Canis lupus familiaris: one gene and its partners. The protein of the gene in region 1 interacts with the protein of each later gene in a pairwise test. Links are inferred from orthologs where the notes say so. Each region holds a gene or a part of one and is shown in the gene's direction. Other genes may lie near its edges. The genes, in order: DISC1, DPYSL3, CEP57L1, MYT1L, MPPED1, DNAJC7 and PPP4R1.

The links.
Region 2: the proteins of DISC1 (region 1) and DPYSL3 interact in a two-hybrid assay, tested with the Homo sapiens proteins (2 studies listed by BioGRID and IntAct). The link is inferred for Canis lupus familiaris from reciprocal best matches to the Homo sapiens genes DISC1 and DPYSL3.
Region 3: the proteins of DISC1 (region 1) and CEP57L1 interact in a two-hybrid assay, tested with the Homo sapiens proteins (2 studies listed by BioGRID and IntAct). The link is inferred for Canis lupus familiaris from reciprocal best matches to the Homo sapiens genes DISC1 and CEP57L1.
Region 4: the proteins of DISC1 (region 1) and MYT1L interact in a two-hybrid assay, tested with the Homo sapiens proteins (2 studies listed by BioGRID and IntAct). The link is inferred for Canis lupus familiaris from reciprocal best matches to the Homo sapiens genes DISC1 and MYT1L.
Region 5: the proteins of DISC1 (region 1) and MPPED1 interact in a two-hybrid assay, tested with the Homo sapiens proteins (2 studies listed by BioGRID and IntAct). The link is inferred for Canis lupus familiaris from reciprocal best matches to the Homo sapiens genes DISC1 and MPPED1.
Region 6: the proteins of DISC1 (region 1) and DNAJC7 interact in binary tests that used the Homo sapiens proteins (3 or more experiments, as listed by UniProt). The link is inferred for Canis lupus familiaris from reciprocal best matches to the Homo sapiens genes DISC1 and DNAJC7.
Region 7: the proteins of DISC1 (region 1) and PPP4R1 interact in a two-hybrid assay, tested with the Homo sapiens proteins (2 studies listed by BioGRID and IntAct). The link is inferred for Canis lupus familiaris from reciprocal best matches to the Homo sapiens genes DISC1 and PPP4R1.

Annotation. Positions count from the first base shown.
Region 1 is NC_049225.1:8,197,600-8,201,410, reverse strand, and holds part of DISC1 (disrupted in schizophrenia 1 protein), read left to right. Parts: intron 1-1,146; coding exon 1,147-2,141; intron 2,142-3,811. UniProt on the Homo sapiens protein: Involved in the regulation of multiple aspects of embryonic and adult neurogenesis. Required for neural progenitor proliferation in the ventrical/subventrical zone during embryonic brain development and in the adult dentate gyrus of the hippocampus.
Region 2 is NC_049223.1:40,967,732-40,972,124, reverse strand, and holds the start of DPYSL3 (dihydropyrimidinase-related protein 3), read left to right. Parts: upstream 1-1,455; coding exon 1,456-1,869; intron 1,870-4,393.
Region 3 is NC_049233.1:66,472,993-66,476,803, forward strand, and holds part of CEP57L1 (centrosomal protein CEP57L1), read left to right. Parts: intron 1-513; exon of another isoform or gene 514-934; intron 935-2,331; exon of another isoform or gene 2,332-2,376; intron 2,377-2,643; coding exon 2,644-2,721; intron 2,722-2,834; coding exon 2,835-3,070; intron 3,071-3,811. UniProt on the Homo sapiens protein: Centrosomal protein which may be required for microtubule attachment to centrosomes.
Region 4 is NC_049238.1:1,008,063-1,011,873, reverse strand, and holds part of MYT1L (myelin transcription factor 1-like protein), read left to right. Parts: intron 1-660; coding exon 661-1,638; intron 1,639-3,811. UniProt on the Homo sapiens protein: Transcription factor that plays a key role in neuronal differentiation by specifically repressing expression of non-neuronal genes during neuron differentiation.
Region 5 is NC_049231.1:23,112,872-23,117,455, reverse strand, and holds the start of MPPED1 (metallophosphoesterase domain-containing protein 1), read left to right. Parts: upstream 1-1,481; 5' UTR 1,482-1,606; coding exon 1,607-1,633; intron 1,634-2,177; exon of another isoform or gene 2,178-2,207; intron 2,208-2,757; exon of another isoform or gene 2,758-2,819; intron 2,820-3,323; exon of another isoform or gene 3,324-3,471; intron 3,472-4,584. UniProt on the Homo sapiens protein: May have metallophosphoesterase activity (in vitro).
Region 6 is NC_049230.1:20,751,572-20,755,382, forward strand, and holds part of DNAJC7 (dnaJ homolog subfamily C member 7), read left to right. Parts: intron 1-684; coding exon 685-838; intron 839-1,375; coding exon 1,376-1,540; intron 1,541-2,381; coding exon 2,382-2,473; intron 2,474-3,811. UniProt on the Homo sapiens protein: Acts as a co-chaperone regulating the molecular chaperones HSP70 and HSP90 in folding of steroid receptors, such as the glucocorticoid receptor and the progesterone receptor.
Region 7 is NC_049228.1:75,667,205-75,671,617, reverse strand, and holds the start of PPP4R1 (serine/threonine-protein phosphatase 4 regulatory subunit 1), read left to right. Parts: upstream 1-1,604; 5' UTR 1,605-1,706; coding exon 1,707-1,713; intron 1,714-1,906; coding exon 1,907-1,951; intron 1,952-2,362; exon of another isoform or gene 2,363-2,767; intron 2,768-4,023; exon of another isoform or gene 4,024-4,165; intron 4,166-4,413. UniProt on the Homo sapiens protein: Regulatory subunit of serine/threonine-protein phosphatase 4. May play a role in regulation of cell division in renal glomeruli. The PPP4C-PPP4R1 PP4 complex may play a role in dephosphorylation and regulation of HDAC3.

The DNA of each region.
Region 1 (3,811 bases):
TCAGGAGAGTCAGGAGACTGTGATGCTGGTCACTCAGTCACTTGCAGGGGTTTCTGAATGCCAATTTCTCTGAGCCTCAGTTTCCTTAACTGTAGAAGGAACAGGAAGTTCCTTTAAGGAAGTTATACTTCCTAGTCTGGTTGATTCGCATAACTTTGGTAGGGAGCAAATGAAATTAATGTAGATGATGCCCATATTCTGAGTACCAATGTGCTGTGCAATAGAGAAATAATAACTAACATCTTCAGCACACTTATGTGTGCTAGGCCCTGTTGTAGGCTGTCTACCTCTAGTGACTCATTTAGTTAAGTCTCACCCTGCGAGAGAGGTACTGGTAATGTCTCCATTTTACTGAGAAGCAAGCTGAGGCACAGAGAGGTTAAGTAATTTGTGGAGGTGAACAGGCAGCAATGGCACAGCCAGGGCTTAAGCCAGGCAATGAGGTGCCAGAGTCTGCTCTCAACTGCTATACAATCCTGCCTGAGAGCTATCAGCATTTTTTATTGTTTCTATTCCTTTTGCAGAGCTCGAGGGGGACATAGTCCCTGGTTTGTTGAGCACATCAAGCAGGGCCTCCCGTGGTCCACTGTGAGAGATGAACTGATGGCCATAAATTGTGCCCCAGCTGGCTCTCCATGGTCCAGAGACGTGCTGGGACACGGAGAGCTCAGATAATGAAAACTCACATATTGTTCAATAAGGAGCTAGAATAAGCGATCGGATCTTGTTTTGAGGAGTGTGCTGGCATTTGCCTCCCAATTGTTTGCTTTCAGGCCCACTCTGGGATAAAAGTGCTGCGGTGCCTAAGAGCCCAATAGGCAAGATGCCAGAGGGTTCAGAAGGAGCCGGCGAGGTTGTAACTCCAGTGGGCATGTTGACATGCTGGCATAACTCACAGCAACGCCAGCTGCTCTGCTAAACAGAAGAGCGGAGACGCTGTGTTTCTTCTGTGCATTCCAGGCAAACACTTGGAGAAGATCGTCAGAATCTTCGTCCCGGGTTGGCCCCGTGACCACTGAGCCAGCATCTCCCTTTGACAGATACACAGAGCGGCGACCTCTAAACCTAAGATGCTCTCCAAATGCAGTTCCAGCTGAGCCAGTGAGCTTTGCGTGTTGATGGTGCTGTTTTCTCTTTTCCTCCTAGGCAGCCAGGATTGCATACCACCTGCAGCGTCTTTTCGGAGGAGGCGGCTGGCACGGAGGCCGGGCTACATGAGAAGTGCAGCTGGGCCCCGGATCGGGTTCCTCTACCCAGCAGTGGCCGCTCCGTTCCAGGCCCAGGGAGGGGCGTGCGGTGAGGAGTCCCACCAGTCTGAGTCCAGGGCCGGACGGTGTGGCCTTGATTCTGGAGGCCAGTGGCGAGGCCCCTCGGTTGGGAGCCCTGTTCCTAGGAGCACAGCAGCCTCGGCTCCGACCTCTGGGGGCTACCTAGGCCTGGCTCTGACCCCTGTGAGAAGGCCCTCGGGGCTCTTTGGGATTCAGCTCAGAGCTGGCACCAAGCCACCTGCCAGGCCAGCCAGGTCGTGTGGCCCTGGGGACACTGGGTGGCAGGGGGAGCTCCCATCCATGGACAGTTCTGAGGCTCCAGGTCCTGGCCGGGATGCTGCTGGAGGCGGTACCTGGACAAAAGGCTGTCTGTCTCCAGAGGAGGCAAGTGGCAGCAGCTACAGCCTTGGAAGTGTCCCCAAGGCCCCCCCAACCCCTGCTGGCTCTCAGGATGCCTTTACGTCAAGCTTTAGCTTCATACGGCTCTCACTTGGCTCTGCTGGGGAACGTGGAGAAGCTGAAGGCTGCCTGCCATCCAGAGAGGCTGAGACCCCTTGTCAGAGCCCCAAGGAGGCGGAAGTGAAGGCTGCCAGCATGGACAGGCCCCACGAACATCCTCGACTCTTCTCTCCCCACTTCACTCTCAAGACTATTCCCAGCCTGGCGGACTCTGCCCAGACCACAGGGGGCAGCCACAGGCCGGAGTGTGACATGCTTTCTTTGTTGGACACGGACACTGCCTCCTCCTGCTCCCCAGGCCCCTGGCGGTCTGAGGGCAGCAGCCTGGGGGAGGCTCACCTTTGGGAGACGCTGCTCAGGAGGTGCGAGCCTGTGCTGCTGGACTGCCTGCTGAGCGACCGGAGGCAGCTGGAGGTTGGTGTCTCCCAGCCTCTGGGGGCCCGCGAGTGTCACGAGCTCAGGCCAGCTTTGGGCAGAAGGCAGGAAATGAGTAGTTCTGGGGTTGACCACCGACTTCCCTCTGGGAGCTGCAGCAGCTCCTTTTGTAACTGACGGCAAAAAGATGTTGCCGTAGTTCTGTTTCTTCTCTTTCTGTTTGCACACAAATCTGTTCTTGTTCTTGTCTTCTCTGTCACTTGAATGCTCAGATTTGCTCTGTGTTGAGCAGCAGGTTCCTCTGCAGTTCCTGGCCTACGTGATGTGTGGTTAGCTCTGCCCAGCTCTGCTTTGAAACAGGGAATTGGGGGCAGAGGCAGGGGAGCTGGGGCTGGCTGGCCTGTGGTTGAGTGGTGTGAAGATGGAGATTGACGCACCATATTGGGGGTGAGGCTGAGCTTCATTTGCATTTCCTGCAGCCCTTGCATTTCATCCTGCTCAGTGGGCCCTGCCTGACGCAGCCAGGAGACTTTGCTCCTGGTCATTACTTTGGTCAGGCTCTCAGTTTCCTTATTTAAAGATGGTAACCTTGCATGGGATTTTCTGTGGCTGCAGTGAGAAGCTAAGGGCTTTTGGAAGCTAGGGGGGGCTGTATACATGCAAACTCTGGCATCATGAGTGTGTTGTGCACCCTGTTATCAGAGAGGTGGTTACAACTGTGAATAGGCAGGGTTGTTCTACCTCCAAAAAATCCGAAGAGAAACCCAGCCTGAGATGCTTTGTGGCTGACCCATTGGGCTATGTGACTGCATTTTCCTTCTGTGTGCATATGATGTGTGTGTATGTGTGCTGACATTTGTACACATCCACAAGGAAGTAGAACAGCTACTCATCAGGCATTTGGTGGAAATACCTGAAAATGTGAAGGTCATGTTCATTCCAGCAATTGCATCTCATTTACTTTCAAATCTTTATGTGTGGCCTGATGTTCCTGGCCCTGTCCCTGTTTGCCCTGTGCCAGCCCTTGGGGACCCCAGCCATATGATTTATATCTCAAGGAGATTGTGAAGCCAGGCTGGATATGCAGACAGGGCTCTGTTCCCAGGTGATGCACAGAACCCTCTAGTTAGATGTGTTCAAAATTGATGTCATTGTCTTCCCCAGCAAACCTGTTCTAAAGGGCCCTAGTCTTGGTACATATATTTGTTGATTTTAATTAAGAGCATCCGTTCAGTTTTTTAGAGAAATTGCAAGCATCTTCAACACCTCTCTCATCCTCATAGTCCTGCAGCTAACCTCCCTCTCACAGCCGCAGCCTCTGCCCTGGTTCAAGTCCTTGTTATTTTTAACGTGGGTTTTGTAAGAGATTCTTGACATATTTGCCTTTCTCAGTGTCTCTTTTCCAGTTCATTCTCCGGATGGCCAGCAGAGTTATCTTCCGGAACACTGGTGGGATAGTGTTATTCCTTGGCTTGAAACCTTTGGTGGCTCATTGCTCTTCTCGGGATGGTATCCAAGTTCCTTATCCTGATAATTGAGACCTTTCCCAACCTGCTCCAGCCTGCCCCAATGCCTTACTCCTGCTGGCTCAGCCATCTGGTGCTGCTTCCTGTTCCTGAAGACACTAGGGAAAGCTGTGCCTCAGGCCTTTGGTTACAGTTCTCTCTGCCTAGAATGACCTTCCTACACTTTTCTACCTGCCACGCTCC
Region 2 (4,393 bases), on another chromosome or scaffold:
TCTAGCTGAGGGTGGGCCCCCATCTGCCTTGTTTTAACACTGTCACTCCAGTATCTCGTGAAGAGCATAGTAGGCATTCAGTTCACGTTGGATGAATAAATTAAGGAGTCGCCTGGGTGGCTGAGCGTTTGAGCGCCTGCCTTGGGCCCAGGGGTGATCTTGGGGTCCTGGGATCGAGTCCTACGTCGGGCTCCCTGCATGGAGCCTGCCTCTCTCTGTGTCTCTCATGAATAAATACATAAAACTCCTTAAAAAGAATAAATTAAGGAATTTAATGAGTGAATTTCCGAGAGGAGGCCTAGTCTAATGTGGGCACCGGGGGTTCCGGACGTCGGCTGTGTGTGCGGAGGCCGTGCCAGCTCTGCCGGTCGCCAGCTCCGTGTTTACTGGCAAAGCGTGGTTTAGGGTGTATGTGGGTGGACACCGGGAGGAGAGTGAGCTGTGAGAGCAGGCATCCGCGTAAGTAACTTGTGTGTGGAACTGAGGGAACTCGGCGGGCCGAAGCGTGTGTATTTTTGAGCTAAATCCTAGCTTATGTGTGAGCCCCCGTGGAGGGTTCTGACTGAGGCAAAGCTGAGCTCGAGGGAGTGTGCGAGGTATTAGCCTCGGGTTTGTTGTACGATGGGGTATCGGTGGTGTCTTACAATCTAGGGACGTGTGTGCGTGTCTGTGACAGGCAAACTAATTGTGAGGCAAATTCTGGGGCAGAAAGCACCATCTGGGGTCCCAAACACGAGGTAAGAATAGCTGAAGCGTCGATCTGCCTGTGAGTCGGGGACGGGCTTTTGTCACTGTCAGCGAAGTAAGAGGGTGTCTTTCAACAGGTTCGGCAGGTCTTGGTTTGAGGGTGCGGGTGTGCGAGGCACCACCGTGAGGCCGCTCTACGAGGAGGAGGCGGCAAGCCCGGGATTACGCGTAAGCAAAGTGCGGGACTAAGTCGGCTAACCCCTGTGCGTGTGCGTGTGCGTGTGCGCGCGTGCGAGAGGTGTTGCTGCACACGAGTGCGGCTTCGAGGCGCACCGGCCGAGCCACCTGGAGCGGCGGGTCCCAGGGGGCGGACAGGCCTGCGCGGGGGAGGCGACCTCGCAAGTCCGCGAGGGGGCGAGGGTTAGTGCGCGTGTGCGCGTGCGGCCCGGGGTCCTCGGGAGCCGGGGCTGGCGCTGGGGCAGGGCGGCCGGGCGGCGACCCGGGGGCGGCGCCGGGGTCGGGGGCGCGGCGGGGGCGGCGCGGGCGGCGCGGGCGGCGGGGGGCGGCGGGGCGGGCGGCGGCAGGTCCCCGGCGGAGCGCGCGCTGGCTGGCGGCGGCCCGGCAGGAACCGGAGCTGCACTGCCGCCTCTGGCGCGAACGCTCAGGCGCCTCCCCCCGCCCCAGTCACTGTGGCTCGGCGCACGCTGCCGGCGGCTGCCCTTTCCGCCTGCGGGGGAGCCGAGCCGCGGGGCCGCCGCGCGCCGAGCCATGGCCTCGGGCCGGAGGGGCTGGGACAGCGCCCACGAGGACGATCTGCCCGTGTACCTGGCCCGGCCCGGCACCACGGACCAGGTCCCGCGGCAGAAGTACGGCGGCATGTTCTGCAGCGTGGAGGGCGCCTTCGAGAGCAAGACGCTGGATTTCGATGCGCTGAGCGTGGGGCAGCGGGGCGCGAAGACCCCCCGGAGCAGCCAGGGCGGCGGCCGGGGCGCGGGGAGCCGGCCGGGGCTCGAGGCCGACAGCCCGCGCCGGGGCCAGGGCCAGGGCCAGGGCCAGGGCCAGGGCCAGGGCCGCGAGGACGCCAGGGAGCCCGCGCCCGCCGCGCCCGCCGCGCCCGCCGGGGTGGAGATCCGGAGCGCCACGGGCAAGGAGGTGCTGCAGAACCTCGGCCCCAAGGACCAGGTAGGGGGGCCCGGGGCCGGCCGCCCCTGCCCGCGTCCCCGGACCCCGGCACAACTTTTCTCCCGCTCACTTCGCCCGGGGGGCGGGGGCCCTGCAGGAGGAGGAGGAGGGGAGGAGGAGGAGGAGGAGGAGGAGGAGGAGGAGGAGGAGGAGGAGGAGGAGGAGGAGGAGAGCATCCTCTCGGAGCGTACAGCGCGACCTGCGAGCGGGGACCCGGAGTCGCGCGGGCCCCCGGGAGCAGCATCCCCGTGCGCGCGGGACCGGGGCGCGCCCCCCGCCCCACCCCTGGGCCTGCGGGTCTGGGTGGGTGTGTCGGCCCGCACCGCCCGGAAGGCTTGCTGGTGCCCAGCCCTCCTCTCCGCCCGGGTAGCCGCCAGCACAATGGGCTTCGCCCCACGCTGGCCCTAGATTAAATCTCAACCCGGGTCACCAGGGCAGAGGGCAAACTCCATAGGCCCCGGATGAACACACGGGACGGGCGGTCTCCCCTCTCACTCTTCCAACATCCTCTGTGTCCCTGAAACTTTTGGGTGTGGAGCCACTAGACTAAACAGCCCAGTCTGAATGCCTCTCTCCTGTCCTGGATGGACATTTCACATCTGTGTTGGTAACGTGTACATTTGTGTACGGAGCTTGCTGCTGCAAGACTGGGTGCTGCACAGGGATCCAGCTGTCCCTGGGAGACTATCGCTTAGTTTTGAAAACGGGCCAGAGTACTAAGGGTGCACTTTAAACTTAGCACAAGCTGCAGAGTCTCTGCCGCTCCTACATGTGCCAAAGCCAGTTTCTTCTGTATGTGTGTTTTTGAGAAACTCATGCCACTTTGAATCGACTGGAGATACGGCCTTGAGATCCAGCTTGCTCTCATCTATTTGTTTATTTCGTAGAAAATCAGAACCACCTTTCAGAAAATTCAGGCTCTGGGCAGGGCTGGAGTATTCAAAGTTCAAACTGATGCTTTTGAGTTGGGGAACAATAGTAATCAGATACGTCACTCTTGTGTAGATAACGGCAGCAAAATCCATCCACGGATAGTATTCTGTGCAAATACTGATATAATAATAACCCAAAATGGAAATGTCTGCCTCAGAGCAATTACAGTTAATGCTTAACCGAGATTTTCAAGGTTTTCCATTCAAATGCAGCGAGCCCCTCAAAGGAAAGCATATCTCTGCACTGCTTGGTTTTCGAAAGTTTGAAAAAACAAACAAAGCTTTAATACCACTAGGGGAAAAAGAGTGCCCTTGGGAAACAATGTCCACGTCCCTTGGAATCACTCTCTTAGTGTGTGATTTTCATATCATCCTTAGAATGTGGGATTCCTCTAGGCTCTGCTCAAATAACCCTTTCACAAGAAACTTCTGATATTTTGGAAAAGCTGTGGCTGATTTCTAAACTTAAGAATGGTGTTACAGGAAGATTATTGCCTCTCTTCAGGTCTTAGCTGATGGGGATTGAAATGTTCCTTCCCTTCCTGACTCTAAGGGGTGGGAGAAGTGATGGAAAAGGTCGGTAACAATTGCTGTGAGTCAGTGCTATTCCCTTTGCTGGAACACCCCTGATGTAAGCCAGATAATATGCCTGGTTTGCAGGATTTAAGAATGGTAACTAGAGAAAGGGAAAATGTTCCTCCTGTAAACCCAGAAATTCTCTCGTTTTCCTTCCTTTTGCAAACCCTGTACTTTTGGCTGCTAATTGAAAAATAATGCTACAACTTAAGCATCAGCAGGATTTCTTGTGCTACGTGGTTATTTGTAAGTTCGGGCTTACTGTCAGCTTCATGCCGGCCATGTTATTATCTCTAATTTGGTTGAATCACGCTGCTAGAAGAGTCAGCAGACCTTATCTACTTCTGTACTTAATGGCTATTTCCTTGAGGGTAGGGATTGGGTGTTTGGGTTTATCGCTGTAGCAGAAATGCCTGGCACATTGGAGGTGCTCCATGAATGTTTGGTACATTAAACCTCCTTCATTAAGCCATATATTTTTTTGCTACGTAGATCCACAATAACTATCTAGCCTCTATTTATTTATTTTTTGTGAATTAAAAAAATATTTTTTTAAGGTAAACTCTAGGCCCATCGTGAGGCTTGAACTCATGACCCTGAGATCAAGAGAAACAAGAGAAACTGAGCCAGACAGATGTCCCTTCTGGCCACTCTTTTAAATACCACATTTAAATATACCATGCAGCCGGGGTGGCTCAGCGGTTTATAACACCGCCTTTGGCCCAAGGTGTCATCCTGGAGACCTGGGATCGAGTCCCACGTCGGGCTCCCTGCATGGAGCCTGCTTTTCCCTCTGCCTGTGTCTCTGCCTCTCTCTCTCTCTCTCTCTCTCTGTGTGTGTGTCTCATGATTGAATAAAATAAAATATTTAAAAATAAATAAATAAATACCACATTTTCAGGGAGCATGCTACCTCATGAAGCAACTTTGGAAAACTTCACTTTAAAAAAAATTGAATTAAGCCCAAATCTGCCTACTTTTAGTTTCTATAAACTATTCTTAGTTCTGACCTTTTA
Region 3 (3,811 bases), on another chromosome or scaffold:
TGTGCCTATCATAAATAAATAAAATTAAAAAAAAATAAAAAATAAAAAAAAATTCTGAATCTTGGGGGGTGCCTGGGTGGCTCAGTTGGTTGAACATCGGACTCCATTTCACCTCAGGTCATGATCTCAGGGTCATGGAATTGAGCCCTGCATCAGGTTCAATGCTCAATGCAGTTTGCTTGACATTCTCTCCCTGTCTCCCTCAAAAGAAATAAAATAAAATATAAATAAATAAATACATTCTTTTTAAAAAATTCTGAACCTTAGGCAACTCTTCTTTTATAAATACTTTTTAGTTTCTAAAAGCAGTTATTGTCCAAAACTGGAAGAACTTGTCTTTGTCAGATAAGCATGTAAATTAATGGAGGAAAATAAACAAAAAATAAAATCTAAAAATATGAAGCCTGATAAGGGAGCAGCTAGCAGCTGGATAAGAAAATCAAAAAAAGGAAGGAATGGTAATTTAAATTTTATTCCAGCTATAATGCAGGTAATTCTGACTTTATAGTAGCATCATGTGACATATTTCTGAGTCCATTCCCAAGATACTCTATTATACTTATCTCTGTCTATTTCATAAACCCATGTAACCTTTGGCACTAGAGGATCACATAACAGTGAAAAAATGGATAAAAGAATTTTAGAAATAGTTAAAGCAGAAGATCATGATCTTAGAATATTAAGACAAATGCTACATTACTGTTAATATTTGGCTGATAAATTCTTCTTTTAAATGTAACCTTAGTTGGTTTGAAAGAGTAGACTGTAGGAAAATGAATTGTCAAAAAGAATACACCACTTTGATATCATTAGGTTGCATAATTGTCACTTGCTAATGAAACATATAATCCCCAACAGGACTTGGAGAACATTGTGCTAGAGGGTCATGGGCCAAATCACTAAGTTCCTTATTAATCCATTTCAGTGCCACAACCTGTGCTTTTTATCTGGCTCCTCACCTCAGTATGTGCCCAAAGGCTGAGCCAAAACTCTTGATTATCCAAGCACAAGAAAGGATTGTCTCTTCATCTCACATGCTCTGCCAGACACAGGCACAGAGGGATCAGGACCTCCCTCAAGCTGCCCCTAGAACTGAACTCATAGAAATAAATTCTGTAATACTTTATAAAAGAGTTACTAAATGACACAACATTTGATAACAACACAATAGATCCTAGAAGCAATTTTATGTAATTTAAGGTCACCAGACTGTATTTGTTAGAATGACAGTAGCATTTGTCTGTCAGTTCAGATCTTGGGAACACAGAAACTCCTTAGATCAAAAAAGTAGCAATTACTATTTAATTTGAAAAGTTAAATACTGGGCAGCCTGGGTGGCTCAGCGGTTTAGTGCCTGCCTTCAGCCCAGGGTGTGATCCTGGAGACCCGGGATCAAGTCCCACATCAGGTTCCCTGCATGGAGCCTGCTTCTCCCTCTGCCTGTGTCTCTGCCTCTCTCTCTCTCTCTCTGGTCTCTCATGAACAAATAAATAAAATCTTTAAAAAAAAAAAAAAAAGAAAAGTTAAATACTATCAATAAATACAATGAAAAATCAATGACAACTCTGAAGATCAAACTAAATCCAAATCTAAGCAAGGCCTTTAAGAATCTTTAAGAATTCATAAGTGGCATTTTTCTTAAGACAGAGAAGAAAAAAGATACCTGTATATCTTGCTACTTCTAATAAAAAATGAAAATACTGGGCAGTCCCAGTGGCTCAGCGGTTTGGCGCCACCTTCATTCAGCTCGAGGTGTGATCCTGGAGGCCCAGGATCGAGTCCCACATCGGGCTCCCTGCGTGGAGCCTGCTTCTCCCTCTACCTGTGTCTCTGCCTCTCTCTCTGTGTCTCTCATAAATAAATAAATAACAATCTTTAAAAAAAAATTAAAATACTTATGTACTTATTTGGTCCAGATGGCTTTGCTGTCAGTGATTAAACTGTAGTATATCCATAATGTGAAATACTACACAGAAATAGAAAGAATGTATTGATATTTACTGGATCCTATTGAAGGACATTTGGATTGTTTGCACTTTTTAACTATTACAAATAAAGCTGTGATGAACACTTATGTATAGGTTTTTGCATAAACCTAGGTTTTCATTTTTCTGGAATAAATGTCCAGGAGTGTAATTGCTGGATCATATGATAAGTACGTGTTTAGTTTTGCAAGAAACTTTATTTTTTTTTTATTTCTTTTATTTAAATTCAATTAGCCAATACATAGTACATCATTAGTTTCAGATATAGTGTTCAATAATTCAATAATGTAGTGTAAGAAACTTTCAAATTATTTTCCAAAGTTGCTATATAATTTTGTATTCCTACAAATAATGCATAAGCAGTCTGGCTTTTCCACATCTTTGCCAACATTTGGCGTGGTCACTATTCTTTATTTTGGTCATTCTGGTAGCTGTATAGTGCTATATCATTGTAACTTGCATTTTACTAATGGCCTATGATTTTGCAGATCTTTCTGTGTGTTTATTGCCATCCATATGACCTCGTCAGTGAAATGTCTATCCATATTTTTGCTTATTTTCTATTAGAATGTTTACTGTTGAGTTTTGAGACTTCTTCATATCATAAAAGTCTTTTAAAACAATTTTTTGTTTACTTTTTTCCTTTGTCAATATTTAGAAAACTAGATGTTTAAAGGAACGACTACCTCAGCAAATTTATTCAAAGTCTGGATCACTGCCAATTGTGGCTAAAAAGGTGAGAGGGGGGAAAATGAAGATACTTGTTCAGACACACTCCTTTGTTGTAAGTGCTATTTAAATGCCATGAGTCATTTGAAATTGTTCCTAGCTATTTCTTTTCCCCTAAAGTCTTCCAGTGCCAGCCATTCTGTGAATACAAGTGTGCAAAGCCTCCTGCAGGTAACACAACATTATGGGCCACATACCCATCAGAAACTTACTGAGCCTCGATGTCTCTACAAGCCTACTAGAACAACTTCCCAGGGTAAAGCTGAACCTTCTGACTCAAAACATTCCATTTCTATTGGTGACAATTTGTCTGAACTTTTGATGGCAATGCAGGATGAGCTGGACCAAATGAATATGTAAGTATTTTTATTGTTTTTCAGAAGTAGCAAGCCATATAGTATCTTTTCTCTTCTCTGTCTTAAGAACAATGCCACTTATGAATTCTTAAAGGCCTTGCTTAGATTTGGATTTATTTTGATCTTCAGAGTTGACACTAATTTTTCATTGTATTTATTGTTAGTATTTAACTTTTCTAGTTAAATATGTAATTACTATTTTTTTGATCTAAGGAGTTTCTGTGTTCCCAAGATCTGAACTGATAGGCAAATACTACTGTTATTCTAACAAATACGGTCTGGTGACTTTAAATTATAACTCACAAATGCTTTTATTTTATTTTTTTATTTTTTTTTTTCACAAATGCTTTTAAAAGCAAGATTCTCCTTTGTTTTTTTATAATCCTTTTAATTAAGTGAAATTTCATTAGACAAGTAGGAAAGCAATTCCTTGTTTTCAACTCTGACTGATCTGAATGATAAGTCTTGAAGCATCCATAGTAAATAAGATTCTGAGTGGTATACATATTTTAAGCCCCAAGTTTAAGTATATATTCAATAAAAATTCCGGAAAATATGAGATTTGGGTAGCCAACTAGTTGAACTAAGACCTCTGTAGAAGGTATAACTGGTTCTCCTGACAGTATTCCTTTCTGTGGACTATCACCAAATCTAGAGACTTCTCAGGCAAATATTTTTATAGCTGCCGTTCTTCCCAAACACACTATATTAAGAATTCCAAAGTTGGAACTAAAGAGAGTC
Region 4 (3,811 bases), on another chromosome or scaffold:
AAACTTTGGCCGCACATTCCTGTTGCCTCTCCGTGGACCGTGACACACTGTCTATAAGATAGAACATTCGAAATAGCGTCATTCAGTCCACACGTGCGCTCCTGACACCCAACGCCCAGCGTAGGTGGCGGCGCCACTGCCAGAGCCCGAGGCCTTCCACTGTGGTTCCTGAGCATCACTGTGAAAACAAACAATTTAAAAGCAATTGCTGCGAACATCTGTCTAAGAGTCGGTAACGAGTCAAGTTCATGAACTCTTAGAAAGCCTGGTAATACGATGAGTGTAATTATCACGCATCTGCTTGGGCTGCAAATAAATAAAGCCAATAAAAGATAAAAGTCACTCGTAAAATTTAGAATGAAAAATTCATATTTTAGAATTACACATACCACATAGACTGGCTCATTTTAAGAATAATTAAGGAAATGGAAAGTTCCTAGCAAGGGCTTCCCGCGGGCCCCCGGCTGTAGCGCAATCCGTGCCCTCGGTGGCACAGCTCCAGCCCCGCCACACGCGGGGCTTCGTCTCCAGTACACAGTGAGCAGGGTTTTGACGTGCCATTGACTTGCTTTCCATGCTGTTGCCACTAAACTTCAAGTTCTAGCCACTTTTTCCTTTTCTTTTCTTTTTTGTCCCTTTTTTTTTTTATCTTCTTTGCAGAAGACCATCAAATGAGCTGTCACAATTCTCGAATAATGCAAGACACGGAGAAGGACGACAACAACAACGAGGAGTACGATAATTACGATGAGCTGGTGGCCAAGTCCTTGCTGAACCTCGGCAAGATCGCCGAGGACGCGGCCTACCGGGCCAGAACGGAGTCGGAGATGAACAGCAACACCTCCACGAGCCTGGAGGACGGCAGCGATCGGAACGAGGCGCTGGGCCGCAAGAGCGAGCTGAGCCTGGACCTGGACAGCGACGTGGTGAGAGAGACGGTGGACTCCCTGAAGCTGCTGGCCCAGGGACACGGGGTGGTGCTCGCGGAAAACCTCAACGACAGAGCGTACGCAGACTCCCTGTCGCAGCAGGACAGCAGGAACATGAACTACGTGATGCTGGGCAAGCCCATGAACAACGGGCTCATGGACAAAATGGTGGAGGAGAGCGACGAGGAGGTGTGTCTGAGCAGCCTGGAGTGCCTGCGGAACCAGTGCTTCGACCTGGCTCGGAAACTGAGCGAGACCAACCCGCAGGACAGGAGCCAGCAGCAGAACATGAACATCCGCCAGCACGTCCGGCAAGAGGACGACTTCGCGGGGAGGACGCCGGACAGGAATTACTCCGACATGATGAACCTGATGCGGCTCGAGGAGCAGCTGAGCCCCAGGTCTAGAACTTTCTCCAGCTGTGCAAAGGAGGATGGGTATCACGAACGAGACGACGACACCACCTCCGTGAACTCGGACAGGTCTGAGGAGGTGTTTGACATGACCAAGGGAAACCTGACCCTCTTGGAGAAAGCCATTGCTTTGGAAACAGAGAGAGCGAAGGCCATGAGGGACAAGATGGCGATGGAGGCCGGAAGGCGGGACAATGTGCGGTCGTACGAGGAGCAGTCGCCAAGACAGCTTCCCGGGGAGGAGAGGAAGCCTAAGTCCAGTGACAGCCATGTCAAAAAGCCATACTATGGTAAAGGTAATATTTCTACCTAACGTAAGTTGCCTCATGAAAACAGGAGCTAGGGTGAAAGATGCCAATGATGCTCCACAAAGGAAGTGTGCATCACGCTAAGTCTTATCACTGATGCCCATCTCTTTAGAGCTGATTACAGAATTACATTTTGTGATTGTGTTTCTGAAGAGCGAATAAAATATTTGTCTGGGAGATGCACAAAGCAGCCCAATGTCCCATCAGAGCAGATGAGTGACACGTTTCAGCGGGAGAGGCTTGCCTTGGAAAGACAGGGCTAGCGCGCAAACACAGCGCGTGATAGGAAACGTTAGCGTGAGCCTGCGTTCTTACACACGAAGCAGAGTCTATGTGGAGTGGCGAGGGCTCATGCAACGAGTAGCCAATCAGGGATGAGACATGTATTTTATGTATCGGAACGGGTAGGTGGCATCATGATTTATAAAATTATCAACCAAGTGACACTTATTGATGAAACACCTCCCCCCCCCATAGAAAACATGCCCTCATAGAAATCGAACAGAAACAGAATGACCTATAACGTAAGAGAAGGGCAGTGACTGCACATTAATTATCTTAAGATAGTGAGTAATGGGAGCCGTTTGCTATGCAAGGCGTGGTGTGTCCTGAGCTGAGATCGATAGTTATTCCTTCAGGATGTTCATTCCCGCTCACTGATTCCATTCCATTCTGTGGAAACGGTTATGGCGCCTACTTTATGGCGAAATACTCAAAAACCACCCAACACGATAGTTTCAGCAGATTTTCATTTATGAGCTCTACAGGCCCATATTTTCACGCATCTTCCTACATAAAGCAAACACAGAGTCAGTGCATCTACGGAGTGTTTAGACATGAATGGATGACTGGCCCTGTGTTTGCAATAAGAACCGTGTCCACTTGTGATACGAGCTGGTTATGACTTAACCCCACGAGGAGCCTCGAGACTGTGGGCATCTCGGTTACAAGACCTAAAGTCAGAAGCCATTTCAAAAAGGAAGCTGGTAATTCCTTAAACCCTTCCACGTTAGTAACAAAGCACATCCTCTGTCTTACCTTGTGTTCTATTCCTTGCAAAGACTGGGTTTCCTCACTGTGGATCTGATGCTGAGGTTCAGGAATTTGGCTTGAAAATCAGTTGCTATGGAAACCTCAAATGATCAGAGAACCAGTTTCTCCCGTTGTGACCTAGGTGTGTAGTCTCCTCTCAATGTACATGTGCATCGCTCCTGTGGCATCGCTCTAACCGAAGCCCAGCTGGAGACAAACCTTAGCCAGAGGCCCGTCGGGTTCTCGACGCGGCAGGTGCTTGAGCGCTGACCACCGTTTCAGTTCGGGAGGCGAAGGGGGACCTTCCAGGGGGTGCGGCATCTGAGGAAAGGGGACAGGCGCTAGCCCAGCGGAGCGTCAGCTTGCTCTGGGTGCAGTAAGACCGTGAAGCAGCATGTGTGCGCACAACCATAGTGCAACCCACCAGGACGTTTGAGCTGGATGTTTGAGACTCATAGGAACCAGACACTTGTAGGAAGAAAGTAGTGTCCTTTCTCACGGGGCGGCTCAGTTGGACTGAGGCCTCACGTGTCAGAAGTCGGTAGAGCGGGTTTCATGGTGGAGCTGGCAGCAAGGGATGCGGCAACGAACCTCGGGAACGTGTGGGCTCACGGGGCATCGCAGATTCCATGTCGCCCTGGCTTCTTTGGCTTCTGTGGTTCCCTTAAACCCAGCAGCTTTCTGTAGACCCTTACTCATTTTGCTTTGTCATTGTTATTTTATTTTTTTATTTTTTATTTTTTTTTGCAAGAAATGGAATTCAAACTGCTTGCTTCCCTTCAACAGATGGGGCTGAGGTGGGAACAAACAGTAAAACCTGAGATGTGCTTTTCCCTGAAACGGGGGAAGGGTTGGGGTATGGATCTTCCCGATGAGTCAGAAGCATTGACCCCTGACTCTACCTGTTTCTGTAGATTCCTTCCTCTGAGCCAAGCTCTCCCATTCCGTACGTGTGTTCCACTCCGTTCCCAGGTCTTTTCTCAGGATATCCGTAGGTACGTTCAGAACCGATTAAATAAAACCAAGCAGAGACACCAGAGTGGGCCAAGGAAATTAATGCCCTCCTTACTAAAAATATACATGATATGACATTTTACCAACACGGCCAACGGACAATTCCTACAACCGG
Region 5 (4,584 bases), on another chromosome or scaffold:
ACGGGGTTGGGCAGCCCCGCTGGAGGAGCTGGGTGGCTCTGCGTGCCACGAGGGGTTTGAGGTCAGTGGATCTCATCCTCCATTTGCTCGGTAGGTACCAGTCTGGCGCGCTGGTCACAAGACACCACAGGGCATTTTGTTTGAATGAGCTCAGGGGCCCCGTGGCCTGCTGAGCGTGGCCCTCAAGGCCCTTCCCGACCTGTCTTAGGGCCTGCTTGCATCCTTAGGGAGTCTACACCCTCCTGCCCTCCCTGCACATCTCCTCCTGGGCATCTGCAATTCTACCGTTGGGAATGCCCATCAGGCCATCTCCCCAGTCCTTCTTCCAGGCTCAGCCTCAGGCCCTCTTCCGGGAAGCCCTGCTCCGTCTCCCAGGGTGGGCATCTCTCCCTCCCCCAGCCCACACTCGGTTCCAGGCGGGTCTCTAGGCACATCTCCCCTCTGGCTTTTCACTGGCCATGGCTGGATGGCAGGGGCTGCATCTGGGTGCCCCCTGTATCCCTGGCCACCTCCAGGTTCCCAGGACGACACAGGTGTCCACTGGATGTTGCAGCCCCCTGAGCAGTGGGGCTGACAGCAGACGTGGGCCACTGAGCAAGCCTTGCCCTCGGCAGCAGGCCTGTGTGTTTATCTGACTGCTCCCACACTCTTCTCTTCTTGACTTGGGGAGAGCCTTCCCTGGGGCCCTGACCTTCACTAGGCAGGCACACCGAAGCTGGGCATCTGCAAAGGTCAGCGTGGACCCGAGAGATAGAGCGAGTGATCGTGGGGGGTGGGGGTCCTGCCTGGGGGCGTGAGGGCACTGGGGAACCCGCTTTCCAGAACGGACCCTGCGGGGAGACCGAGTGGCGGCTCCCGGCTCTTGAGGAGAAGTCTAGGGGCTGCCGGCCGGGTGTTCCAGCTGCCCTGCCCGCATGCCTGGCTGAGTTTGTTCTTCTAGCCTGGCCTCTGCCCCCTACCCCCAGGATGGCCCCAGGCCGCAGTGGAGAATTCAGGTCCACAGACAAGGAAGAGGAGGCAGATGCTCACCTGAGGTCCCCTCAGCCATTCTCTGTCCCCCTTGCTGGCCTCAGGGCCCCAGCAGGGCTTCCTTCATCTCCCAGAGTGGCCCCTCCTGCTCCTCTGCCCGGGCAAATGAGAAACCTGACCGAGGCATGCCCCTGCTCAAAACCTGCTGTGGCTCCCCACTGTCCCTGATAAAGTCCACCCCCTTAGGCAGGCATCCAAGGCTCTTCCTGATGGGGCTCCTGTTCCTCCCCTCCCCCACCCTCCTTCCCCTCTCCCCCCACTTCCTCTCTCCAGTCCCATTGAAGCTGCCATTCCAAACATGCCAAGGCCTTTGCATGCACTGTTCCCTCTGCCTGGAATGCCTTTTCCATACCTTCTCTCCTTGGCATACACTTTTTCAGCTGGGGTGTGTCCACCTCCAAGAAGCCACACCAGGTAGCGGTCCCTGCTCCTGCTCCTGCTCCTGCTCCGGCACTGGTGCAGGGGATTCTCCTGGGTCCCTGTCTGCCTCCCTCCTGGACTGGGCTGTCCCCGAGGGCAGGCCAGGCCCCAGGCGCCCACACAGGGTGTCCTCATATTGAGTCTGAAGCCTGGAAGAATGCAGGAGTGGGAGCCACCGTGTGATGTGAGTGTGTTGGGGGAGGGGACCCATAAACATTGTTGGGGTGCCTTAGATGGGCCTCTGAGGGGCCACACCCCCCTTCTCACCTCCCTCTCTGTCTGGGAGGTCCAGGCCTGAGCCGTGCCCTGGCTACAGGCCCTGTGGACGCGGCCCTCCACCCGTGGCAGGGCCTGGAGGTCACGGGGGCCTCTCAAACTCCCCAGGGTGGGACCACCGCCTGCGGGGGGTGTCGCTCTCCCCTCTCCCCGACAAGGCAGGACCTTCGAGCCGGGGGCTAGGTGCTCCGTGGCCTTGACCCGCTTACCTGCCCCGCTCCGGGTCAAGCCTCCGCCGGCCACCGTCTGTACCCTGGGACTGGGGACCTGGGACCCCGGGGAGCAAGAGATGGGGGCGCAGGCGGCGGAGCGGGGCCTCCGCAGCCTGCGAGCCGGGGGGAGGATGGGGGGTGGGGGTCCGGGGCCGGCTGCCCCCGCGGCCTCGGGAGGGGGTCCGGGCCGGAGGCGGGGGCCGCGGCGCCCCGGAAGGAGCCGCGCGCGCCCCAGCAGCCGAGCCCGGCGCGGCGGCCGCGGATCCGGAGGTGAGAGCGCCCCCGCCCCGCTCCCCGCCCACCCCGCGCGCGGCCGGGCCGGGGCCGGGGCCGGGGCCGGGGCCGGGGCCGGGGCCGGGCCGGGGCCGGGGGGCGGGCCGGAGGGGGCGCGGGGCGCGGCGGGGCGGCCGCCGGCTCTCCTCCGCAGCGCGGGCCCGCTCCCCCGCCCGGCCGCCCGCCCCGCCGCCCCCCGGTGCCCGCCCCGCTGCTCCCCGGTGCCCGCGGCGGCGGGATGCGGGGCCCGGGCCGGGCGGGGGCCGAGGGCCGAGGCCTGGCGGGCGCGGCGGGGGCCCCGGCGGGCGGGGCGCGCGGGGCGGGGGAGGCGGGAGCGAGCGGGGGGGCAGGGCGGCGGCGGGAGGGGCGCCGGGGCGGCTCGGAGCGGCGCGGCGGGCGAGGGAGGGGGCGGCGGGGAGCCCCCCGCCCCCCGCCCCCCGAAGGAGGAGTCTGGCTCCCACTTGCTGCCTCGGACGCGCGGCGCGGCGGCCGCCGCCGGAGGAGCCCCCGCCCCTGCGCGCCTCCCTCCCCGCAGCCGGGCCCCTGCCTCCCTCCGTGCGCGCTGCTGCTCGCGGCCGCCGCGGCCGCCGAAGAGGAGCCCGGGGCCAGGTAGGGCGGGGGCGGGGGCGGGGGCGGGGGCCGGGGCCGGGGCCGGGGCCGGGGCCGGGGCCGGGGGCGGGGCGGGGGCGGGCGCGGCCGGGACCCTCTGGGGCGCGGGGTGACGCCCGCGGCGCGGCGCAGGGGCGCCCGCAAAGTTACTTTGGCCGCCCGTGGCGGGTGCGGGCGCCGGGCCGTGTCCCCCCGCCGCCGGCCGGCCGAGCCGGGGAGCCGGGAGGGGCCGCGGCCGGGGCGCTGGGCTCGGACCGGGGCGAGGGGCGGCGAAACTTTTCCCCGGCTCGCCGGTCTCTGCTGGCTGCCGGCGGAGTTGCGGGAGGAAGGAGCGGACCGGCGGGGCGCAAGTGATGATGAGGGTCCTAACAATAGCAGCCCCCGGTCGCTGAGAGCCTACTGTGCGCCGCGGAGCCCCTGCCGGCACTTGGGGGCGACGGAGGGGGTCACTAATGCGGGGCTAGTGGCCACTTTGGCCGGGCGTTGCTGGAAACTTCATCCACGCATGCATCCACGCGTCCATGCGTCCATGCGTCCACACATGCATGCATCCATCCCTCCGCTCTCTCGTTGCACACACATTTGTTACTATCTGCTCTGTGCCTGGTCCAGAGGATTCAGCGGCTAACCAGGCAGGTCCCAGCCCTCACAGGTAATATTTCCATGCTAAGGAGCAGTTCTGTCTCTTGTGTGTTTATTCTGGGACTTGTTATAGGACAGTGAATTCACTCACAGCCTCCCCTGGTCCAGGTGGAGACAGAGGAGGGTCAGTCTGAGAGCTGATGTGTCCAGGCGTCTGTGGCGGACCACGGCTGGGGGGTCCTAGACCCACCATCTCCCATTCCCTTACATCCTCTCTCCACTCAGGCCGGATGGCCAGAGGCTCCCATGCGGGACCTGGCCCCCAAGTCTGTCCCACTGACCTCCGGGAGATGCGTTTCCCCCCACGCTGGGTCAGACCTCTCCCAGTTCCCCTCCAGTAGCTTGGTTGCCTTCCCTTCCCATCTCCAAAGTCCCTGTTGACCCGCCCAGAGGAGAGCTTGTTCAGTGCCAAACAATTATGAAATTAAACTGGGGAACAAAAGTGGGCGGGCTGGTGGATGTTTGAGCCGGTTGGAGAGGACTTGCATGGTGGGGGGAGACTTGTTAGTGGGGACCAGCCACACGGGGAGCCTCAGTACCCTGGCTGGTCTTTGCAAAAATAAATAAATAAGTAAATAAATAAATAAATACACCAACTTCATGAATAATTAGTCACATTGGCTAAAATGCTCTGGGGGATGTCATTGAGGCCACCAGCCGACTGCCATAGCCAAGTTGGAAGTCGGGCTTGGTCCATGGGAGCCAAGGCACTGGGAGACCATTTGGGGAGGGGGTGGCGGATTTGGCTGGGCTGAAGCAGGCTTCTGGCGGTGGAGAGCACACCGGGGCTTGAAAGCCAGCCGGTGGTGATTGGGAGGCATTCTGGAGCTGGGCACGGTGTACAGGGGACCGTGGTGCGGGAGCCATGCATAATAAACTGTGCTTCACGAGGCTCGGCTCCCTGCAAATTGGCTTTCCAAGTGGCAGCCCCACAACACTTGTAAAATCTTTTTTTCTCAAGATGGGTTTCTGCGAAATGGTTACATCTGTTTGAGTACTCACTCGGTGGAGGTACATTAATTGGCTGATGGCTAGTCGAAAGGCGATAATCCAGTCACAGAGGTTTCATCATGTATTCGGAAGTGGTTCGGCGTGGGGCTGCCTCTCTATTTATTTCTCCACC
Region 6 (3,811 bases), on another chromosome or scaffold:
TTTTCTTTTAACACTTGCAAGTTTGCAAGTTCTGTAAAGGGCAGTAGTAAATATTTTAGGCTTTGCGGGTCATATAGTCTCCATCGAAATTATTCACCTCTGCCACTGTGGTGCAGAAACAGCCATTGATAATAGATAAATGGATGATGTGGCTAGGTTTCAGTACAGTTTGATTTACAGAAACAGCGGTGGGCAGGATTTAGCCCTTTGGGCTGTAGTTTGCCAATCTCTGTTCTAATAATGACTGAGACACATGAAGTGTATTAAAGATAAATATAGGGCAGCCCGGGTGGCTCAGCGGTTTAGCGCTGTCTTTGGCCCAGGGCGTGATCCTGGAGACCTGGGATCAAGTCCCACGTCGGGCTCCTGCATGGAGCCTGCTTCTCCCTCTGCCTGTGTCTCTGCCTCTCTCTCTCTGCATGTGTGTGTCATAAATAAATAAAATCTTTAAAATAAATAAATAAATAAATAAATAAATAAATAAATAAATAAATAAATAAAGATAAATATAGGTCATTTATTTGGGGAAGGTATGGGAAGAGCTTATTGGGATCTGTTGACCTTTGGATGCTTTCCATACTAGACACATGGTCAAGGGAAAAATTAGTGATAGTAATCACAAATGATAGTAATGGTAGGGAGATCCAAACCATGGCTGAATGTTCTCCTCTCTGGCTATTGCAGTGACATTTTACGAATGGATTCTACCAATGCGGATGCTCTGTATGTACGAGGTCTTTGCCTTTATTATGAAGATTGTATTGAGAAGGCGGTTCAGTTTTTTGTACAGGCTCTCAGAATGGCTCCTGACCATGAGAAGGCCTGCATTGCTTGCAGAGTAAGTTCTAGGCCCCAGATCTGAGTAGGAAAGAAAACTTCCTTTTTGAACCTGTGAATCAAAAATGAAAGGTTCTAGGATCACATGAAATGTGATAGCTCCTTTTCCCGCTTTGCCAGGATGCTTGGTCTTTGATTAGAAATTATTTCAGAACTACGTTTATTTACTTAAAAGTAAATGTGATCATGTAGGGTCAGATCCTTCTAATACCTAAGTGTGCTTTTTCTTATTTTCTTCCCTCAGTGAAGAAAAAATAGTAATGCTTATTCTAGGGAGTGGAGGTAAATCCTGGGCAAACAAGTCTCAATGATATTCTGTTGCAAATCTTGGTTTCTCCTGTCCACTCTGTAGGAAGCACCAGTGAGCAACAAAGAGCCCAGATGGTGGGGGTACGGGCGGAGGGGTGGGTGGTTGTGGTAAGGATCAGTGCGAGGCTAAACAGCTGTGATCTGAGAAATCAAAAATAGACTTGGGCCTCTTGTACAGTTGTCTGGGTTTCCTGGATATGAACTAACTTCCCCTTGCTTTTCCCTGTAGAATGCTAAAGCACTTAAAGCAAAGAAAGAAGATGGGAATAAAGCATTTAAAGAAGGAAATTACAAGCTAGCCTATGAACTGTACACAGAAGCCCTGGGGATAGACCCTAACAATATAAAAACAAATGCTAAACTCTACTGTAATCGGGGCACGGTTAACTCCAAGGTAAGCACTTGGTCTGGGTCTTGGGGTCTATGGAGATATGTTTAAGGGACCTCAAAGAGGTCTTGGGGAATCTGCCTAATGAGGGCAGCCAGATGAAAGGAGAGAAGATGATTTTTGTTTGAGAGTTCAGCTTGTTAACAAACTTCCTTCTGAGAGGCAAGCTTTTTTGCCTTTTCCTCGAAATTGAAGGGCACTTGAGGGACAGTTTGGAAGGATATTCCTACCTGTTCTTCCTCAAGATCCCTTTCCTCCACTAAGAGAATGCCAGGGGCTTTGGCATCATTTTTAGGCAAATTTTATCATTGTTTTTGGCCTAAGCAAGTGATTATTTCTTTCTTAGGAGTAATTTGAAAGAAATTAGAGTATGAGGCAGGCTTAATTTTTTTTATCCAGCATAACTGATGGTCACCATGCTCGGCTGGAAACAGTCTGCATCTCCACTGTAGTCCTGCATACTCTAAGAAACAACAGCAGGCCCTTGCTCTTATAGTATTCCAGTAGTTAGAAATCAGAGTAATTCATACCCCTCTCATTGGCCTTTGGGAGAATGGAGGGCAGGAACCACTATTTCCCTGTCTTGTTTGGGCACTACCCTGGAGTGGTAGAGGTGGTTTATCCCTGCACAGAAGTGTGCCTGACTTCTATCCTGTAGAAGAGAAACCGGTTTCGAATCTGGCGTCCTTAGCCCTCTGAGACACTAGCTTTCTCAGTGACCGAGAGTGTGTGACAGTTAGGGGGCTAGCACGACTGATCGTCTTAGAATTCTGAAGCCGTGCTCACAGCCTCCGGGCTCCCTCAGTCCGCAGAGATGTGAAGTATGACTGCTCTCTCTCTCCTGAAGCTTAGGAAACTAGATGATGCAATAGAAGACTGCACGAGTGCAGTGAAGCTCGATGCCACTTATATAAAAGCCTACTTGAGAAGAGCTCAGTGGTGAGTGCCTCCGGCGGGCGAGGGGAAGAGGGAGTTGCCGCTGGCCTGCCAGGGGAATTGCACTGTGGCTGCTGAAGCAGACCCGGGGATGTTGTGAGGTCATTTGGTCCTTCCCCCTGCCTCTAGGTGGGATTGTTCCAGCTCTAGACTATCTTTATAGACCCCCAGCGGAGGAGATTGCACAAGCTCCCTCAGTCTCCCATGACTGTGTCTTACGCCCCTCACGGTCAGTAAGTTTCCTCTGATGCCTGACCCAAATTCCTTTTGTTAAAGTTTAAATCCGTTTCCTCTGGAGATTGTATTTTGTGTTGTACACTTTTGCTCTAACTTGGCACAGTGCTTGGCACACAGTAGGTGCTCACTCAATAAATGTTTTTGTGGGATGAGTGGATGGTGCTTGGAAGAGGAAGAAATAAAGTATCTCTTGGAGACAGTTGAGAGTTGTGCTTATCCTGTATGTTCTGGGTTAGGGAAGACCGTGTTTCAGTTGGAAGGGATTTAATCTTGCTCAGCCTCTCAGCAGTATCAGGAAGTCCCTTTTGAAGTAGCTCTGTGGGCCTTGGTGATTCATGAGCCAGGGTATGCCTACTTAGATCTAGTGTCCCGATTGGCCTTCAGAGTCAGCACACTCCCCAGCTTGTACATCCAGAGTTTTCTGCAGATAGGAACCTCAGTCAGGGCTAAGAGAGTCCTCCCCCCAAATCTATCTCTTTTTATTTCAGATTATTTCCCAGACAGAGAAGAACATTCTATCTTTAAAGTTCCAAAAGGAAGACCTATTTGTTGTATACTAATCCTCCAACACTCATCCTGTTTCTTGTCATAAAATGTCCAGTCAGAGAACTGATGTTACTGATGTCTGGCGAGCCCATCATTCCTTAAGCTCCTCTGTCTCATCAGTGGTGGCGGGTGTGGCCTGTCTCCCATTTAGTTGGCCCAGAATTATCCACATTTTTTAAAAGTAGGAAAATTACTACTGTGTGTGGTGTTTTTTTTTTTTTTTTTTTTTTAAGTGGAATTCTAAGTAGATGAGTAAGTCCATCAGAGACATCCACAGAATTGTATTATAGACTCTGTGAGACCAGCTGTCAGTCACCTCTTGTTTGCAAACCACTGGCAAACATGGAAGCTTTGGAAGACAACACATACCCTCCGACCCAGCTAAAGACTCATTTTAACAGATACAAAATGCTATATACAAGTTTACTGTGGTGTTATCTGTAATAGCCAACAAAGAGAATCCCCTAAGTGCCTGGTGGGGCAGAGGTGGCTAGGTACATGACACCATGTCAACTCAAGGGACACTCTAGTTTTAGAACAGGGAATGGGTGAGGAGAA
Region 7 (4,413 bases), on another chromosome or scaffold:
TGAGCATTTTTAAATCGTTGCAAATCTCCCCCAATTTTTCCAATATATTTATTTTTTTAAACCTACACACAGTTCAAACCCATGTCGCTCAAGGGTCAACTGCATAGTGTCCTCCGTGAGGACCGCAATGCAGAAAGGGACAAGCTGATAATTCAGAATTTCCTCTCTCCAAGACACCAGGCCAGCCAATGTGGTATCCTTCAAACGATTGGGTGTTTTGTTCTCCACTTTGGGAGATTACCATTTTTGAGGCCCGTAGGTGGAGCTGGAATAGATTAGAGTCTCGGAGATAGGACCGTGTGGAATGGGAGTCAGAAAACTTGGGTTCAGCCTCCACTTTGCACTTGAGCTAATCCCTTAATACATGTTAAAAAAGAAAAAAAAAAAGCGGCGATAATAAAATCTGTAATAGTGATTTCAGTCGTGCACATGAAGTGCTAGCGAAACTATTTAAAGTGAAAAAAAAAAAAAAAAAAAAAAAGCGGGCAGCCCGGGTGGCTCAGCGGTTTAGTGCCCAGGGCCGGGATCGAGTCCCACGTCGGGCTCCCTGCAAGGAGCCTGCTTCTCCCTCTGCCTGCGTCTCTGCCTCTTTCTCTCTTTCTCTGTCTCTCATGAATAAATAAATAATTTAATTTTTAAATTAATAACTTAAAATTTTTTTAATTTAATTAATTAAAATTAAATTTAATTATAAATTACAAATTTAATCAATAATTTAAAAAAATAATTTTTTTAAAAAAGGGTGGGGGGAGCTAATCGTAGGGCTGTTCCCGGGGCACCACGTCCCAGGTAGCAAGTGCCCTGCTGGGTTGCTCACGCTCGTCGCCGGCCGCGGTAATCCTGGCGCAGGCTCCCCCTCCACCGGCACACGGGCTACCCCCCAAGAAAACGGCAGGACGGGGATCCGAACCCAGGCCCGCGCGCGCCCTCGCTGGAGCTCTTCCCGCTGGGTCAGCGCTCGACGGGCAGGCCCGGGGGCGGGCGGCGCCGGGATGAGCGTGTCCGTCGGCCGCCTGGCGGCAGGACCCCGCGCTTTGTCCGCCGCCGCTGCGCCAGGGCCCCGGCGCGCGGGGAGGCGGCGCTTCCTGCCCCCGGAGGGTGGGCCCCGCGGCCTCCGCCGGGCCTCGGATCGCCGACGACGTGCGTGCAGCCCCGGGGGCGAGCCCGCCGGGAAGGGCCGGGCAGGGCAGGGCCGGGCAGGGCCGGGCAGGGCCGGTGGGCGAGGCCGGTGACCCAACAAAGCGGGCCGCGCCGCGCCGCGCCGCGGGAGGCCCCGCCCGGGCCGCGCTCCGGGCACACGCCGCAGGGTCCCGGGCGGCTCTCGGCGTCAGGGCGCCTCGGGCCCAGGGTGTGAGCGCGCGCCGCCGAGCCGGGAGCGAGGGAGGCGGAGGAGCGGCCGCCCGGGAGCCGCACGGGAGCGGCGCAGAGCGGCCGGGCGAGGCGGGGCGGGGCGGGGCGGCGAGGGGCGGGGCCAGGCCGGGCGAGGCGGGGAGGGGCGGGGCCAGGTCGGGCGGCGAGGGGCGGGGCCAGGCCGGCCCGCGGCGCCCGCCCCCCCGCGCCCCGGAGCCGCCCCGCCCGCGCGCGCCCCCGCCGGCCCGGCCCTCCTGCTCGCCGCCCCGCCCGCGCGCGCGCCCCGGCTCCCCGCTCGCGCCGCTCCATGTAGCCCCGGCTCCCCGGGAGACGGAGGAGGAGGGGGCGACCACAAGATGGCGGGTACGTGGCCCCCTGGCCTCCGGGCGCGGCGGCGGCGGCGGCTGCGGCGGCGGCGGCGCCTCCCCCCGACTGGCGGCCGGCGCGGGGTCCCGGCGCGGGGAGGAGGCGCCGCGGGGCCGGGAGGGCGGGCGGCGGGGGCGGCGCGCCGGGTCCCGGGGCGCTGACCGGCCTTTCTTCTCTCCCCTCGGCGCAGACCTCTCGCTGCTCCAGGAGGACCTGCAGGAGGACGCGGACGGATGTGAGTGCGCCGGCGGCCCGCGGGGAGCGGCGCGGGAGGACGGGCGGCGGCGGCGGCGGCGGCCTGCGCTCGGGGCTCGGCGCTCGGGGCTCGGCGCTCGGCGAGGCGTGGCCCTGGGCCGGCGGGGCCGCGAGCCGCAGGAGGGACCCGCGCTGGGCCCGCGGGCGGCGGCACTCGCGGCGTGTGGGCCCGGGGAGCTCGGGGGCGCGGGCCGACGTGTGCGCTGGCGCCCGGCGGGCCTCCGCGGACCCCAGCCGCCGCGCCCGGGCTTCGCCTTGCGGAGTCGCCGGCGAGTGTCAGCGGGCGGCCGGCCGCAGGGAGCCGGCCCGGGCGGCGCACCCGGGAGTCCCCGGAGCTCGGGGCGGTGTTGGGATGCCGGACCCCCCCTGTGATTCGTGGATTCCGGGAAGGCTGGAAGGTGTGGCCTTAGCTGGAGTTCCTAGCGCTGGGGAGCTTACTGCTCTATTGCAGATGTTCGCGGGGCACCCAGACCTCCCAAAATAGGACGATTTCAGCTTTTCCGTGAGAAAGGGAAGTTTTAAAACAGGCGATCTTTTGTTTGAAAAAACAAAACAAGACAAAAAAAAAAAAAAACAAAAAGGAAAGGGGAGGAAAAAAGAACTTTGACGTTGTCTGCAGAAGACTGTCAGGAAGGAACTGGTATTTAGAAAGGAATTTGTTTATTTCGTGTGTGCCTAAGCATCCGAAGATAATTTGGAAATTGTTCTGCGTGGAAATGATAACCACGGTAGAATTTGTGGCGTATTTAGGGGGAAAGCCTGCCCGTTGCTGAGATTTACTGTGGCTAATACCTGGGTAAGTAATTCAGGGATGGTTGCATTCTGAAATTGCTCTTCTAAATTCTGTGTGGTTCAGCCTTAGCGCTGTGTAATGTGGTTTCCCTTGGCCGAATTAAGCTTCATTTTCGAATTCCTAGGTTTTGAGTGAGGTAAGGGGAATTTACCATTCAGAAGGGTTCTCTAAAAGGAGTATTTTTAAAGCAAACGAACCATATGCAGAATTAACTTTCGCTAACTCTGGGTTGGTGTTTTTGGTGTTTTTTGTGAAGTACAAAGCTCTCTCACACAGGGAGCAGTACTAACATAGTGAGGGACAGCTTCTACACTTCACCTAATGCTTTATGTTAGGCCACCTGTCTGCCTGCTAGTGAGTTGAAAAGGCCATTCAAGGCAGCTGGTGATTGCTTGCAAAGTTAAGGTTGGTAAGGTGGCTCCCATCGTTATCTCAAACAGGGGCTTCTCATTTCTGTGATTAGCTTCAAGACTTTATAAATAGAAGACACAGCAGTCAGCAGGGGTTTAGGAATGCACGCAGCAAGAACTTTTGCCCCTTCCTTTATTTTCATTTCTTGTGACATGCACTCTTAAAGGATGAGCTAGTGTCCCGTTTCCTCATTGAGTCTATAGAAGCCTAGTCTAGAAGGGAAAGCACACCTGTGAAGAACTCAACAATGATTTATTCATGAGCTGCAAGACTTCTGTGTACTGAGGATATAGCTCTGCAAAGGACGGCCACAATCTATGCCCTCTAGTGGTTTATTAGCAGTTTTAATATAAGTGTGATGAAGAAGATATGAGAGGCAGCATAACAGTAGTTAACAGACAACACTCTAGAGCCAGACTCTTGTGTTCCAGTTTTGTTATTATCATTTTGGACAGACCCCTGCAACTCCCTAAACCTCTGTATGCTCACGTTTCATCGTTTGTAAGTAAGCATACTAAGTATTGCCTATTTAGAGTTGTTTAGAGCCTTACATAAATTAAGATACGTAAAGCGCTGAGTACTTGGTAAATACTGTTAAGTGGTGGTGGTTATGAGTGAAGAAGGGAAGCTTAGAAGAGGAAATACTGATGTTGAACATTACAGTACAGAATTAATATAATTATAGACGTTGCTAATGCTTGCAATTAACTTATTAAAGGTTCTGTTAGTTCCTAGTGTGTTTTAATTTAGGATAAAACATTACACATCTGAAGGCATAGTTTATTTGCATATTTATGAATTGATTTAAGACTTCGTTAGAATAATTGCATATTTTTTTCAGTTGCTAAGGTCTTTACAGGTGCTACCTTTACCTGGAATATTTGGGAACAAAGGATCTTTGAACATGTGGCCAGTTGAAGGACCACTTGCTGTCTGTTGTGAAGGGAGAAAGAATGAGGAGGAAATCTGGCTTTGATGCCTAGGCCAAGGGTAAGAGAAATGGAGAGAAAATGAGAAAGCTTGTCACCTCCTGGAGAAGCTGGAGAAGGTAGAGAGGACCAGAGATGTTAGAGAGAATGAAGCTTGGGCTGCCCTTACAACTAGAAAGTATCGTATGAACTTGATTTTCTGTCTCAGGCAAACCCTGGGATGGAGGCCCGCCTCCAGGGTACTGTATACCAGGTCCTGCTGCTTCAGCCCAACTAGGTCTAAGTCGGTGCTCGTGATGGGAAGAAATT